Linked DNA regions of Caenorhabditis elegans. The protein of the gene in region 2 interacts with the protein of the main gene of each other region in a pairwise test. Each region holds a gene or a part of one and is shown on either strand. Other genes may lie near its edges.

Evidence for each region. The genes of interacting proteins can lie anywhere in the genome.
Region 1: the proteins of scrm-1 (region 2) and cri-3 interact in a two-hybrid assay, tested with the Caenorhabditis elegans proteins (2 studies listed by BioGRID).

The regions. Positions count from the first base shown.
Region 1 is NC_003281.10:3,393,300-3,400,276, reverse strand, and holds cri-3 (Conserved regulator of innate immunity protein 3), read right to left. Parts: upstream 3,693-6,977; 5' UTR 3,688-3,692; coding exon 3,416-3,687; intron 3,366-3,415; coding exon 3,181-3,365; intron 3,131-3,180; coding exon 3,027-3,130; intron 2,978-3,026; coding exon 2,828-2,977; 3' UTR 2,650-2,827; downstream 1-2,649. Other genes in the region: Protein clpf-1, read right to left, coding at 1-137, 735-818, 872-983, 1,033-1,184, 1,236-1,438, 1,749-1,946, 2,364-2,523; mlc-4 (Myosin regulatory light chain), read left to right, coding at 6,496-6,594, 6,713-6,977.
Region 2 is NC_003279.8:11,687,907-11,694,940, forward strand, and holds scrm-1 (Phospholipid scramblase), read right to left. Parts: upstream 2,925-7,034; 5' UTR 2,916-2,924; coding exon 2,511-2,915; intron 2,398-2,510; coding exon 2,146-2,397; intron 1,740-2,145; coding exon 1,637-1,739; intron 1,591-1,636; coding exon 1,532-1,590; intron 1,485-1,531; coding exon 1,439-1,484; coding exon of another isoform or gene 1,431-1,438; exon of another isoform or gene 1,208-1,430; coding exon of another isoform or gene 1,203-1,207; exon of another isoform or gene 1,083-1,202; coding exon 1,060-1,082; 3' UTR 776-1,059; downstream 1-775. Other genes in the region: T22H2.4 (4Fe-4S ferredoxin-type domain-containing protein), read right to left, coding at 6,816-7,034.

The DNA.
Region 1 (6,977 bases), on a different chromosome or scaffold from region 2:
TGATTTTCAACTTCCATTCCGAATGGTAGACATGAATCGGGCAGTTGCTCGGCTCCGATTTTACAAAGAGTGACGTCATCGAAGCTGACGTCAAATGTGAATGGGTAGAGATTGTTGGCACGGGTTCCGTAGAAATACTGCAAAAAAAAAGTTTTTTCTTAACAAGTTAGGCTTTAAAACACTGAAAAACCAAAAAAAAGAAAAAACCCGCAAGTGCGGTAGGGTTGCGGAAAAACCGTGTCAGACAAATAAGTCCCGCCCCCTCAAATAATAATTTTTCGAATATTTAAGCTCTAAAGCCAGTTTTACTCGAATTTCTAGACCATAAAATACAGAATTCTTTGGAAATGTTTTATTTTTAGAAAAAAAATGCCTGAAAGGCCCAGGGACAATATTTTCGTGAAGAAAATTAATTTTTCAGCTCAAAAATTCAAATATATATATTTTTCCGATTAAATCAAATGTTTTCCAATAGAAAATAGACAAAAAATACAGAAAACTTGTCAAAATCACTCAAAAACTGCAAAAAATTTCATAGAGCGGAGCCTTTTAGCACGTGCGGCAGGGCTGCGGAAAAACCGTTCCAGGCTTGCAAATAAGCTCCGCCCCTTCAATTTATATTCATTTTTCGAATATTTCAGCTCTGAAAAGCTGATTTTTGTCGATGTCTCTAGTGCAAATCAAAGATTTTTTTGGAAAAACTTTATTTTTCGAATTTTGAGGACAAAACCTACCCGATGAACGTTTTCTCCGCGCATTTTCGAACGAATTTGCCCGGTTCGTTGTTCAACTCCACCGGATTTTGGAACATGTGTGAGCTGTAAATGAATGATTAACTTTCAAACAAAAAACAAGGATTTTCGCGACATACTCTGACGAATTCCGGCAATTCTTTACTCAAATCACTGTAGAGCCTCTCGTGATCGAGCACAATAACCACGTCGACTTCAAATGCCGATGCCGCTTTTACAATGCATTTGTATCTGAAATTGAGCTATTTTAAACAGATTTTCAGCGAAAAAAACGACAAACCCTTCCCCATCAACCCATCCACAGGTGTTAATGATCATTCCGCCGATTTTGGCTTCATCATTCTCCTGAATTTGTGCATTTAGTGTAGTTGCCATCTCTTTGAACAATGCTTCGTAGAGAGATAGATTTGCCGACGGAGAAGTGTGCCCAAACTGGAAAAAATTGGGAAAAATTGTGAATTATTTGATAAATTTAAAGCCTACATTAAAGACAATCGGCTGATTTCTCTCGAATCCATCAATGACGTCGGCTGTTTTTTGTACAAGAACAGCTGCAACTGTTCCGGGCACCGAAACGCTGTTCTGACCGACATCGAGCTCCACAAATATCGGGGTACGTCCTTGGCGAACCGAATAGTTGCACAGAATACGGGAGACTGTGGTTTTTCCGACGTCCGTTGGTCCAACTGGAAAATTAATTATTTTTTGGGTTAAAAATCAGTAAAAAACCGGAAAACAAGGTTTTTTCTACATTTTTCGAAGCCAAACATAAAAATAAATTACTTAAATTCCGAAAAAAAATAAAATAAAAAGGTGGGCGGGCCGTGCGGCACGGTTGCAAAACAACCGTGCCAGGCTTGCAAATAGCCCCCGCCCCTTGAAAATATTGATTTTTCCAGTATTTCAAATGATTTTTACTCGATTTTCCTGCAGAAACCACAGAAATTTTCAGTTTTTCGACGAAAAATCTCCAAAAAAAGCCTAGAATCAGCTCACCCAACAGCAATCTCGGTCCTTTTGCCTTATTCGAGTTTCCAGCCGCCTGTTCCTCTCTCTTCTTCCGAACTTCTTCCATAGCTGCGTGAATATTCAGATAAATGACCATCGGAGTGCTCTCGGCAACGTATGCGCTCTCGGTTGTGCCGACGAGCTCAATTGTGGCGCCTTTCCACGTGAACGCCGCCACACGAGATTCTGAGGAAAAATTGGGTTTTAAATGGCAGAAAATGGGCCGAAATTGACTTTTATGGCCAAATCCATTGGTGTTTCTCAATTTTTTTCTGTGATATTTGATTTAAAACACTGTTTTCCAGACTTTTCCGCATAAAACAAATGATTACATCTGAAATTATCGATTTTTAGGCCAAGTTTCAAGATGAAGTTTCAGCGAATTTCTCTACTTTAACCGCAAAGAAACACGCTAAAACTTGGAAATTGACCTAAAAGTCGATAATTTCACAGAAATTTGTGCTTTTTCTGCGGAAACATTAGGAAAACAGTGTTTCAAGCGAAATATTACAGAAAAAAAACGGAGAAAGAGCAATAAATATAGCCAGAAAACGGGAGTTTTTGAAAAGTTGAAAAAAAATCCAGATTTCGAGGAAAACTTACTGGCTGGAAATGTATATTTCTTATTTAACAGCAGTTCTGTGCCAAAAATTTCAGCGTATCCCTTGACGAGCTCCAGACAGACATCCGAATCGTCTCCGGCGGCAAATCTCAGCTCACAGTCCTCTTTCAAAACGAACTCTTGAACATTCTCCTCGCTCATTTCTTTGGAATCTGAAAATGAGGCTTTATTGATTTTTTAATTTTCAGGAAAAAACGCGGAATTAGATAAAGCAAAGACATAGTTAATTTACAAAAAATTTGGGATGCGGAAAACTACAAAAGAAGAAAAAAACAATGGGTTTATTATTTTTGGAGGAGAGAAACCTCAAAACAGAACAAAAAACTAAGGAAAATAAACGAGCTGAAAGAAAATGTGCTACTTATTTAGATTACCTAAAAACGTCAACAGTAAAGTTATAAAAGACAGAAAAAACAAAACAATTGAAAAAATTTCAGAAAGCAATCTATTTGGAGATGAACTTCTTGATCTTGTCGAGAAGTCCAACGTATTGAGAGTGCTCGTAGTGAGTGGCATAGGCGACGAGAGTCTTGCAGAACCGAGCATCGAGACCGCGTTCTTCCAAATAACGAACGAACAGGAGATCGTGGAGGTCCTGGAATTAGAAAAAATCAATAATTTGCGGTCCTCTTGGGACTACTAACTGGATCGATATATTTTCCACTGCTAGCGTACACCTCGGATGGTACGTCCTCGTTTCCATTCTTGGCAGATGGGGCGACGTAGAACTCTTCGACGCGGAAATCATCTATAAATAGTATATATTTTATTCGAGTTTTCGATAAAATCGAGTATTACACTCATCAGGTTGATCGTCAACTGGCACAAGCTCGAGATGGAAGCAAAGTCTCTGATCTCCCTTGGTAATCTCGACGGTGAATGGTGGCATGGCTACTGGAACTGGAGCGACGGCCTGGGATGGCTCATCGTCGAATCCTTCGTCCATATCGACAGAGTGGTTCACATTGAAGACGACGAGAATGCTTTAAAAAAATTAACTTTAGAACTATGAAAAATTCTGAAAAAAACGAACTCTTCGCTTCCATTCTTCTTGGTCAGCCTAACTTCGGCGTCCTTATTGGTGACTTGGAAGCCAGCAAATGTCGGCGCAACGGCTCCTTGAAGATTGTCGCTGCTCAGCTGTTGCTCGGCTTCGATCTCACGGTTCAGGGCCTGTTGAAGTTCTGGCGTTACTGACAGAACCTTGGCCGATTGTGAGAAATGGCGTGGAGCGGCCATTCTGACGACCTGGGATGAACGGAGAGCCACTCGGGACAGGGAGCGAACAAGGGAAGCAGTGTTCATTTTACCTGAAAGAAGAAAAAAATAGAAAATTACATTTTCCAAAAATGATGCAAGTTTTTATCGAGCTAAAAATCAAGATTATCAGGTTATAAAGCGTTTCTAATTGATTTTAGGCTAATTTAGTTGTCAAAAATCAATAATTTCAATGAAAAACCTCGAAAAAATCAGTGGAAGCGTGCAGAACCGAAGAAAAAGCGAGAGAATATGCGAAAAGCCGACGAAAATAATTCAAATAGAGCCTTTCGTGGCAAGATATCTTCGCCGCAAAATGGCATGCGCCTTTAACTTGGCGCGCTTTGGAATTGTGTTCAAACGTTTTTCAGCCATATTTTCTCATTTTAAATCGATTTTTTCTTGTTTAAAATGATTTTAAAGTGCGTTTTCTTTGAAATTATTGACTATTGGGCTTAAAATTATATAATAAAACTGAAAATTGCCAGAAAAATCGATTTTTTGTTGTAAAAACATGGAATAGAGCTGCGCAGCTGGCGCGATGAGTCATGAGTCATTTGAAAAAGCAGCATTGCGAAATTTATGTTTAGAATTTTTTGAAGATTATTGATTAAACTAGGAGATTATCGATTTTAAGGAATATTTTTATACTTTTGAATTTTCGAATTTCGTGTTTCTGGCTAAAATCGTTGGTTTTTCTCGATTTTTCATTAATTTTCAGTTTTTCAGAAGTTTTTTCGTCTAGAAAACTTGTTTTCTGGCATTTTTCGGAATTTTTGAAGCTTCAGTGTATTTATTTCGAGGTCATAGCGTTTTTTAAACGGAAAAACTCTTTAAAATTCGAAAAATCATGTTTTAAATCAAATAATAATGAAAAATCTAGAAAAACCGATCTAGAAAACATTTATTTGCGCGGGAATTCAAAAATTATTCGGTTTTTTGTTGGAAAAATTAAAAAATCAAACAAAATTCAGGAAATCTTTATTAATTTTTCAGCAGTAATGTCCTGTATAGTGAGGATTTTTTCTGTCATTTAGGGCAAAAACTGGCGTACTTTCAAATTTAAAAAACCATTTTTTCGGTATTTCATAGTGTTTAGACCCCAAATTCCGTTCCCAAAACCTCCCAGAAATTAAATCGTATTCCGTATTCCGTCGGAATATCTTGTTTATCGGCAAGTCATCATATATACCTCCTCATTCCAATGTCCTTTCACACACATTCGAAAGGAACTGTCTCCGTATAAATACACAACGAATGGGAACTGTCTTCTCTCCGTCTCTTCACTCTCTTCACTGCTTCTCCCGTCGTTCCGAAGAATATCGATTGTTTTTCCGCTCTTTTCCGTTTATGTTATGTTTGCCAGTCATGTGAATCACTTCATAACGTTTTTTCTGCTTTCCGGAGAGAATTCTCCATTTTCTGCTACAGTTTTGAGGAAAAAAAAATTGCATTTCGTCGCATTTAATGTGAATTTTGGCCGGGGGAAAATATTAAACAATCTACATTTTTATACCGGGAATTGGGTGGGCGGCAAGTGCTGTTCGGCAAATCGCCAAATTGCCGGTTTGCCGATTTGCCGGAAATGTGTAGAGGCACTTTTTATAAGACGGAACCACTTAAAACTGCCTTTTTGGAATTTATATCCCGCTTTTTAAAGAAATTTTCATAGAAGTTGCTTATTTTTCAAAATAGACGTAGGAACATTCATAGGGTGCGTACAATTTTGCCGATTTAAATTGAAATTCTGAAATTTCCAAAAAAAGGTGCAAAACCACATTTTGCCGAAAATTTTCGGCACCTGTCGTTTTTCCGGCAGTTCGCCGATTTGCCAGAAATTTTAATACCGGCAATTTGCCGATTTTCCGGAAATTTTGAACTCCGGCAATTTGCTGATTTGCCGGAAATTTCAATTCCGCCAATTTGCCGATTTGCGGGAAATTTCCATATAGGCAATTTGCTGATTTGCCGGAAATTTCAATTCCGCCAATTTGCCGCCCACCCCTGACATTAACATTAATTGAAAATAATTGATGATTTTTCCAAGTTTTGCAAAAAAATTCCGGAACTTTTAAACTGATTTTCCTTGTTTTTTTTGCCGAAAAACGAAAAAGTGCAAATTTTAAATAATTTACGCTCCGTTTTTCCTCATTTGACATCCTAAATATGCCCTCCGCCTATTAGATTCTAATCTTTTCTCCGTTTCTCGGTCATTTCCCTCAAAAATGTGTCATATTTCGGTTCAAATCCCCTTTCCAAGGCGACAAACGCTGAGAATCAATATTTCCTTCGAAAACCTCGCTTCCAATCGTAATAGGAAACAAAAAAACTGAAACAAAACATTTTTTGCGGCGGTGACTCACCGCTTTTTCGTTATCAAATAATATTTTCCACGCCCCGCATCTTTTCAGTTTTTTTTCACATTTTTTTGGTTTCTACCATCTTCATATTTCATCGTTTTTTGAGAGAATATCAATTTTCGTTTCAAAAATACTGCTAATAAACGATAAATTAGCGATTTCAATGCTAAAAACAATATTAGTTTGCAAAAATTATCAAAATTTCGGCCAAAAATTGAAATTCTCACAAAAAAACAACGGAAACTTTTTTCCTCTTTTCCTCGAGGAGTCTAGACGTTTTTTGCATCAAAAAAAGGTCTCGACACGACAAATTTTCATTAAATTCAAAGTACTGTATTCCCGAATTTTCATTGATTTTTCGAGAAAAAAAATCCAATTAGTAAAACTACAGTACTCTTTAAAGGCGCTCACCTTTTAGTATTTAACATAAATTTGTCGTGTCGAGACCTTATTTTTTCCTCAAAAATCGCAAATTTTCAAATTTTTGCAGTAAGCCATGGCCTCCCGCAAAACCGTAAACCGCCGTCAACGGCCACAAAGAGCCACTTCCAATGTGTTCGCCATGTTCGATCAGGCTCAAATTCAAGAGTTCAAAGTAGGTGACAGCCTCATTTTTCGTTTTTTTTTTCGAAAAAATAAAAATTTAAAAAGACGAAAAATCCATTGGTTTCAGCGGAATTTTTAAAGAACAATTAAAATAAATTCAATTTCAGGAGGCATTCAACATGATCGACCAAAACCGCGATGGATTCATCGATCAAGAGGATCTGAAGGATATGTTCGCTTCCCTTGGAAAAGAAGTCACCGAACAATTCATCGATTCGATGATTAACGAGGCTCCCGGAGCACAGCCGATCAATTTCACAATGTTCCTGACACTTTTCGGTGAAAAATTGACTGGAACGGATCCGGAGGAAGTCATACGGAATGCGTTCCAATGCTTCGATGAGGATAATTCGGGAAAACTCAATGAGGAGC
Region 2 (7,034 bases):
GGTTGTGTATCCACTAACTATAATGTTTTGGACAAGGATGGAAATGTGATTTTCCTAATTGATGGGCCGGACTGTTGTACACAATGCTTTTGTGAAGATTAGGATTTTATGGTGAATCTTCAGCAGGAAAATGGCCACTTGCGTAGACAATTCCAGATTAAAACTGCCGATAACTATGAGCTCATCGGTTCAATCACCAAAAAGTGGGGTGGTGTACTTCGTGAGGCGTTCACTGACGCGGACACTTTTGCCGTCTTATGTAGGTTTAATTGAAAAAAGCTAAAATAACCCCTGGCTATTATCAGTCCCCGCCGACTTTGATGTCAAGCTCAAGGCTGTGCTCCTTGGAGCCACGTTTTTGATTGTGAGTTTTTTTGGTTTTTAGGGCAGCCGGTAAATATTTCAAACATCTCTTTCACTTGGTACACCATGATCTCATCTAAGTATGCAAGGTACTCTAGGCCGGCGGGAACCCCTTCAATTGCTGGGAGCGCTTCCATTCAGATGGATCCTGGAGCCGCTTGTATCGGAGCTCCCGGTTGAGTTGTAATAACAGCTCGGTCTTGCAGTTCAACGTAAACCGGTGGAGCAGGGTTAAGAAGTTCTTGCTCCATTTTTTCAACCTGAAAATTTTGCAAATAGAGCTGATCCTGTAGCAAAGGGCTCGCGGAGCAAAGCGTTTTGGAGCACATTTCATAGTGAGCAAAAATACACATTTCGTGAATTTTACACTTTAAATAATCAATATATGTAGTAAACTATTTGAATTATCGATTTTTCAAAAACAATTTATTTTTGATATATAATTTTGTGAGAAAAAAGTGGGTGGGACAGACACTGAAAACTAGAAGAAATGGGCGGGGCTTGGAGACCTGAGAGTGGGCGGGGCTTAACAAGGAAATGTGGGCGGAGTCTGAAGGAAAGTGACGTCATACATATATTGGAAGAATGCGTTGGAATAATAAGAAAAACGTTTTTAAAAAAGTTGGCTTTTAACAATTACAGTCACAATTGCAATCACAACCATCGGGGCAGCAGCATGCGGAGCTTGCTGTACCTTTAAGAAGAACTGTAATAGGCTCCTGGAATTAAAAAAAGGTCAATTGACAAAAAACCGGGATTGCATACCAAATTATGCTCTAATCACCGAAAAACACAGCAAAAATGTAAAGCAAATGGTAGAGGGTTAAGCAGACGGACGGTTAGACTGAAAAAGCAAAAAAAAATTGATAATTCAAGCGAAAATCCATAATTATCCCAAAAATCAATAATTTGGACGAAAATTCATATTTTAGGGAAGACACCAATCCTTTTTCAATATTCGATAATTTTCACATAAATCAATAGTTTTTTTTAGACAAAAGTTGATAATTTAAGCAAAAATCAATAATTTCCACAACAAAAAAACTTCTGTTAGCAAAAAGCGATAATCACAAACCTCCGTTATTGCGGTTTTGGCTCTGTTGCTCAAACTCCATGAAATCCTGAAAAATTAGCAAAGTTACAGTAATTCTACAGCAACCAAACTTACAATCAAAAACGTGGCTCCTATCAGTACTCCTTTGAGTTTGACGTCCAGGTCGCCGGGGACTGAAAATTGCAAGAATTATTGATTGTATGGACGGGGGCGACTTACAGTTGACGGCGAACGTGTCGGCGTCGGTGAACGCCTCTCGGAAGCAACCTCCCCATTTTTTGGTGATCGCGCCGACAACTGTGCCGTTGTTGGCGGTTTTGATCTGAAAATTTTGAGGGTATTGAAGCAGCGGACATTTTAGGGGGATAGGATCTTCAGCCGGTAGCTCACTGGCTTCCCGACAGACCCGCAAAGTGTCGGCTGCTCGGCAACCGCTGTTTCTTGGGTTATTCGACAAAGCCGCTAGGTGTCGGCTGCACAGCACAAGTCAGCAAAGCAGGTGGTTCAAGCAGCCGACACTTTACGGGTGGCCAGTAATCCTAGTAAATTGCGGCCGACGCCTCACTGGCAAAACCTCAGATAAAGGGCCGGTGAAAATTTTGGGATTTTCAATACATTCACAGCCTCAGGTAATATTTAGCGGCCGACATTTCACAGCACCTTGCAATCAGACAAGCTAGCATGTACCTTGCAGCCGACACCTCTCAGGACCCTAGAACTTCACCTACCGGAAACTCCTTATCCTGACATCCGCAAAGCATGCAACAGCATGGACCATCAATCTGGAAGATCACATTTCCATCTCCATCCATAATATCATAATTCGACGACATGCATCCACACCGCTGACGGATGATACCCAGAACACCCATCGATGGGGTCTCGATGATACATTCCTGCTGGCAGCATCCGATGCATGCCAAGCATCCACAGCAACCACCTCCGCAACACTTGAACTCACGCTTGATGGTCAGAACTTCCTGGAAAATTTGAAATTTCAGAGCATGTGGATCAATTTTGGCTTGGTAGGCCTGAAAATTTGGGCTCAGGATTGCTCCGCGAGCTTGTTGAACCAGATGCTCCGTGAGCTTACCCTCTTAAAGTTATCCACAATATGCATGACGAATCCACGTTGCGGTCCACAGCACTGTCTCTCACAGCATCCGGACTCCTCGAACGCGTAGTAACACTGTTCTCCATTTGCATTCTTGAGCACGTACTTGTTCTTGGTCTCCCAGTCCGTCACAATCTCGATGAGCTCCTTGATTTGATGCACCATGATTGTATCCAAGTAGGTAAGATACTCCAGGCCTGTAGGCACACCTTGGATTGCTGGTGGCATTGGCATCCACACGGAGCCAGGAGCCGGCTGCACAAAGACACCTGGCTGAGTTGTGATTGCTTGTTGGTGCTGCTGCTGATGCATTTCGAATTGTTGCACTGGATTCATACCCTGTGGGTTGTAGCCCGGTTGTTGGTTTATTACTGGTTGCTGCATGGTTATTTTCTGAAAAAAAAACACTTGAAAAATGAACAAAGCACAGTAGATTTAGAAAAAATTTCAAGATAAAAATCAGCAGGAGGAAAGTTCTGGGGCACCTAGACTTTTTGTAGAATCAAATAGTAAAGTTTTTATGGGCTCGCGGAGCAACAGGAACTGATACAATTCAGCGCTACAATCTGGTAAGCATAGTGATTCACGTGACGTGAAAAAAAAGATGCTCCGTGAGCTTGCACAAAAATGTTTTCGAATTTGATCTAAATTTACAAAACTTCAGCTTTAAAGCTTTCAGCTCGCGGAGCACCAATTGAGCTCAGTCTTAAACATTCTTAAAATTAGAAAATATGGCTCTCAAGCTCCTGAAAGCTGAAATCAAATTTCATAATAAAAAGCTTTACATATCAAAAGTTCAATGACGCCATACAACTCAATGATTAGAGGGGAATAAGGAGAAGCAATTTGTGCACGGCACAGACAATTTTAAATCTGATTAAAACAACCTCTATTTCTGGCTCTCAGAGCACCAAATTCAGATGTGGGCTCAATCTTGCTAGATTCAGCTAGCTGAAAGCTTTAGTTTGACACCCATAATGCCTATGCTACCTCAAACTTAATGTAGGGCTCTGTTGCTCCGTGAGCACAGAACACTCCAAATCGTAATTAATCCTGCTGCTCAATTCACTAAAAATTTGAAAACTTGGCATCCATATTGTATAGATTACTTTAGTTTGAAAATTTCCGCTTTCATGCTTCCGTGGAGCACCAAAATGCTTCGCGAGCTCAACGTGAAAAATATTGAAACCTAGGCAATATGGGGCTTGAATTGACGCTCTAAGGGAGCTGAACTTATAATAAAAATTTTATGATAAAAATTAACAATGGCGTTATTTTTTTAAACAAAAAATTGCGGAGCACCAAAATGCTCCGTGAGCTCAATATGGAAAACACTGAAACCTAGGCAATATGGGGCTTAAATCAAAGCTCTTAAAAAGCTGAACTCAAATTCGTATTAAAAAAAAAATTTAGTGATTGTGAATAAAATAGAAAATAATGTGGGTAATTTCAGACAACGTTTTTGGAATTATGTATACCCTTAGGGTTTTAGTTAAAATATACCCATTTTGTCTGAAATTACCCACATTATTTTCTATTTTATTCACAATCACTAAATTTTTTTTTAATACGAATTTGAGTTCAGCTTTTTAAGAGCTTTGATTTAAGCCCCATATTGCCTAGGTTTCAGTGTTTTCCATATTGAGCTCACGGAGCATTTTGGTGCTTCGCAATTTTTTGTTTAAAAAAATAACGTTTTTGGAATTATGTATACCCTTAGGGTTTTAGTTAAAATATACCCATTTTATCATATTATCAGAGGTTCCACTAAAAAGTAGATACTAAGAATGGTTTTTCAATGAAAAAATGGGCGAAACATTTTCACCAGTTTTCCAAAAAATCATAAGTCAGCCAGCTAACTACACAAACAAAAGGGTTGCGTGGCCGGAATACGGAAAAGATCAAAAAATTAGGAGAGACGCAGAGAAATCAAAGATTTTCAGCTGTCTACTTGCGATAGCTACCATGGTAACCATTTAATACATATGATTAAGGCCAAACAACACTTTTTTTCGCTTTTTTTGTTGAATTAAAAAACGTGTTTGAATCATAGAGAAAGTAGGGGAGAGAAATGGAAAAACGTGAAAAATGAAAGAGAAAAAAAAACCAATGAAATTTGAACAGAAAACAGTGGTGATTCAGCAAATATACAAAATACAAAACTACTTTTTTTTGAGTGACGTCACTTTTTATTGCGAAAGTTGCTCGGAAAGCTCAGAAATAATATCATAGAAGTTTTTGAGAACTTGAAAAAATTCGAAAATTAGAAAATTAAATTGAAAAAAAAAAATTTTTCATAAAATTTTTAAAATTTTCTAATGGAAAATAATATATTTTTCAAAGGGTTTCTTAATTTTTTTTTGGAAATTTTTAGAGTTTTTTCCGTGTACAAAGGTTTTACAGGCTCAATTGGATTTTCTGAAAATTTCGAACAAAATTCATTTTTAATTTTTTTTTGTGTAATTTGAAAATATTCCAATATTAAAAAAATATTTTAGAAGGTTTCTTGTATTTTCGGAGTTTTAAAGCATTTTTGAGAGAAAAAAATTGGAAATTTTCTGGAATTTTTTTTCAGGGAAACAGGTTATTTTTCAGAGTAGATTTTTAGAAATTTAAAGAAATTTAACTATTTTCGTGCAATTTAAATTTTTTTCTTTAACTAATATATTTTTAACAGAGCTTTTTTTCCATTTTGAGAATTTTATAGATTTTATGAGAAACACTTTTTTTTAGAAACACAAAACAAGTTTTTTTTCACTAATTTTTTTCCGAAACAAATATTGTCTAGACACAGGTACGCGGGTACCCATGACGAACAAAAACAACCCGATCAGATGCGATTTTTGACCCATCGCTAATTGGGCAATTTTTCTGCGGAACCGGTTTCAATTCTGTGGGGTAAATCTTTGCCTCTTTTTAATCTAAATAACAATTTAATTTTGGCAACACTTTTCTTTTTTTTGGATTAATTTTCATGTAAAATTTACAATTTAGGATTTAATTTTAATATTATTTTTTAAGAAAAAAATTGCAATGTTTTTGTATTTTTTCAGTCCGAAATTTGCAGAAAAAAATTCATTTTGAAAGTTAAAAAATCCTAACAAATCAGGAGAAAACAAATTAAAAACACTCGGAAGTTGAAAAACTAAAGAAAATAAATTCCACAAAAAACTGGTCGAAAATGAGAAACATTTGTTTTGTTGTGGCTAAAAGAGCGTGAAACAAAGAGAGAGGGAGAGGACGCAGAGATAAAAAGGCACCTAGAGAGTGTTGGGGTGGTGAGAGACGCAGAGATGAAGAGGGAAAGGGAGGAGACTAGACACAAACATATGAGGAACACACGTTGCAGGGGTGTGTTCTGGTGTACTAAACCAAACGGGAAATTATTTTTTCAAGGTTTTTAATTAAAAGTAGACAAATGATATCTGCGCATTTCTGAGCATTTACCTTACTTGAGCCAGCAGAAATTTCAGAAAACAAATTTTTTTCCGATGCAAAATTTAACACTGAACATTTTGCTAGTTGAAAGTTTTTTGATATCTTTAGCCGTTTTTGAGATAATTTGGTTCAAAGTTTGAGGTGGAAGAGAGTGTGGGAGAGAGGAGACGCAGAGGGTTAGACACACTGCGTCTCCCCTCCCTCCACGCTATCTCGCGCTAAACTTTAAAACATTGTATCTCTGATACCGCTGAAGATATTTAAATTCTTTCAACTGAGGAAATACTTTAAAACTTATGAGCTTCACATTTTCAAAAGCAAAATAAAATAACACTTTGATAAAATAGTAGGATTTAGGGAAAATGCGGCAGACACTACTTGTTAGTGAGCAAATATTGGCGAGCGCTCATTTTTTGATATGTTTTTTCTTGTTTTACTGATGCTTGTTTAGGCCCTGAGCAAGAAAATTTTGCTCTAAAAATGTTAAAAAATGACGCCAGTGGAAGTAGAACAATTTCGAAACAGGAAAACTAATTTGAAATTCTTTTCATACCTGAAACATTTAAAAACATGCTTTTGTTTTTTGGCTTAATTTAAATTTCAAATGAGTCTAAAGTACGTAAAGTGAAGACTGTCTAGTTTTGGCAAACGAAAAATAATTTTGCAAGGCTGAAAATAGGGTTTGTAATCCTTTAAAAAACTATTGTTAAAAACTTTTATTTTTACAAAATATTTAAAAAAAAATCATAATTGAAAACCCGTGAATAAAATGTATGTCATAAAAATTATAAATTGAAAAATCCCAAAATTGTCTGCTTCAGCTTGGTTATTTCAGATATTTTCAGTTCAAATCCGTCTTGTTTTGAACTTGCTAAGAAGCTCAGCGGAGCATTCAATGGGGATTCCGGTAGAACACACCAGCAACGATGTTGGAAGCATTTTGGGATTTCTTGGATCTGAAAATTTGCTTTTTTTTAGACATTTTTTTGCACATTTTTTGCACATTTTTCCACATTTTTTGCACTTTTTTTGGACATTTTTTGCACATTTTTTGCACACTTTTGC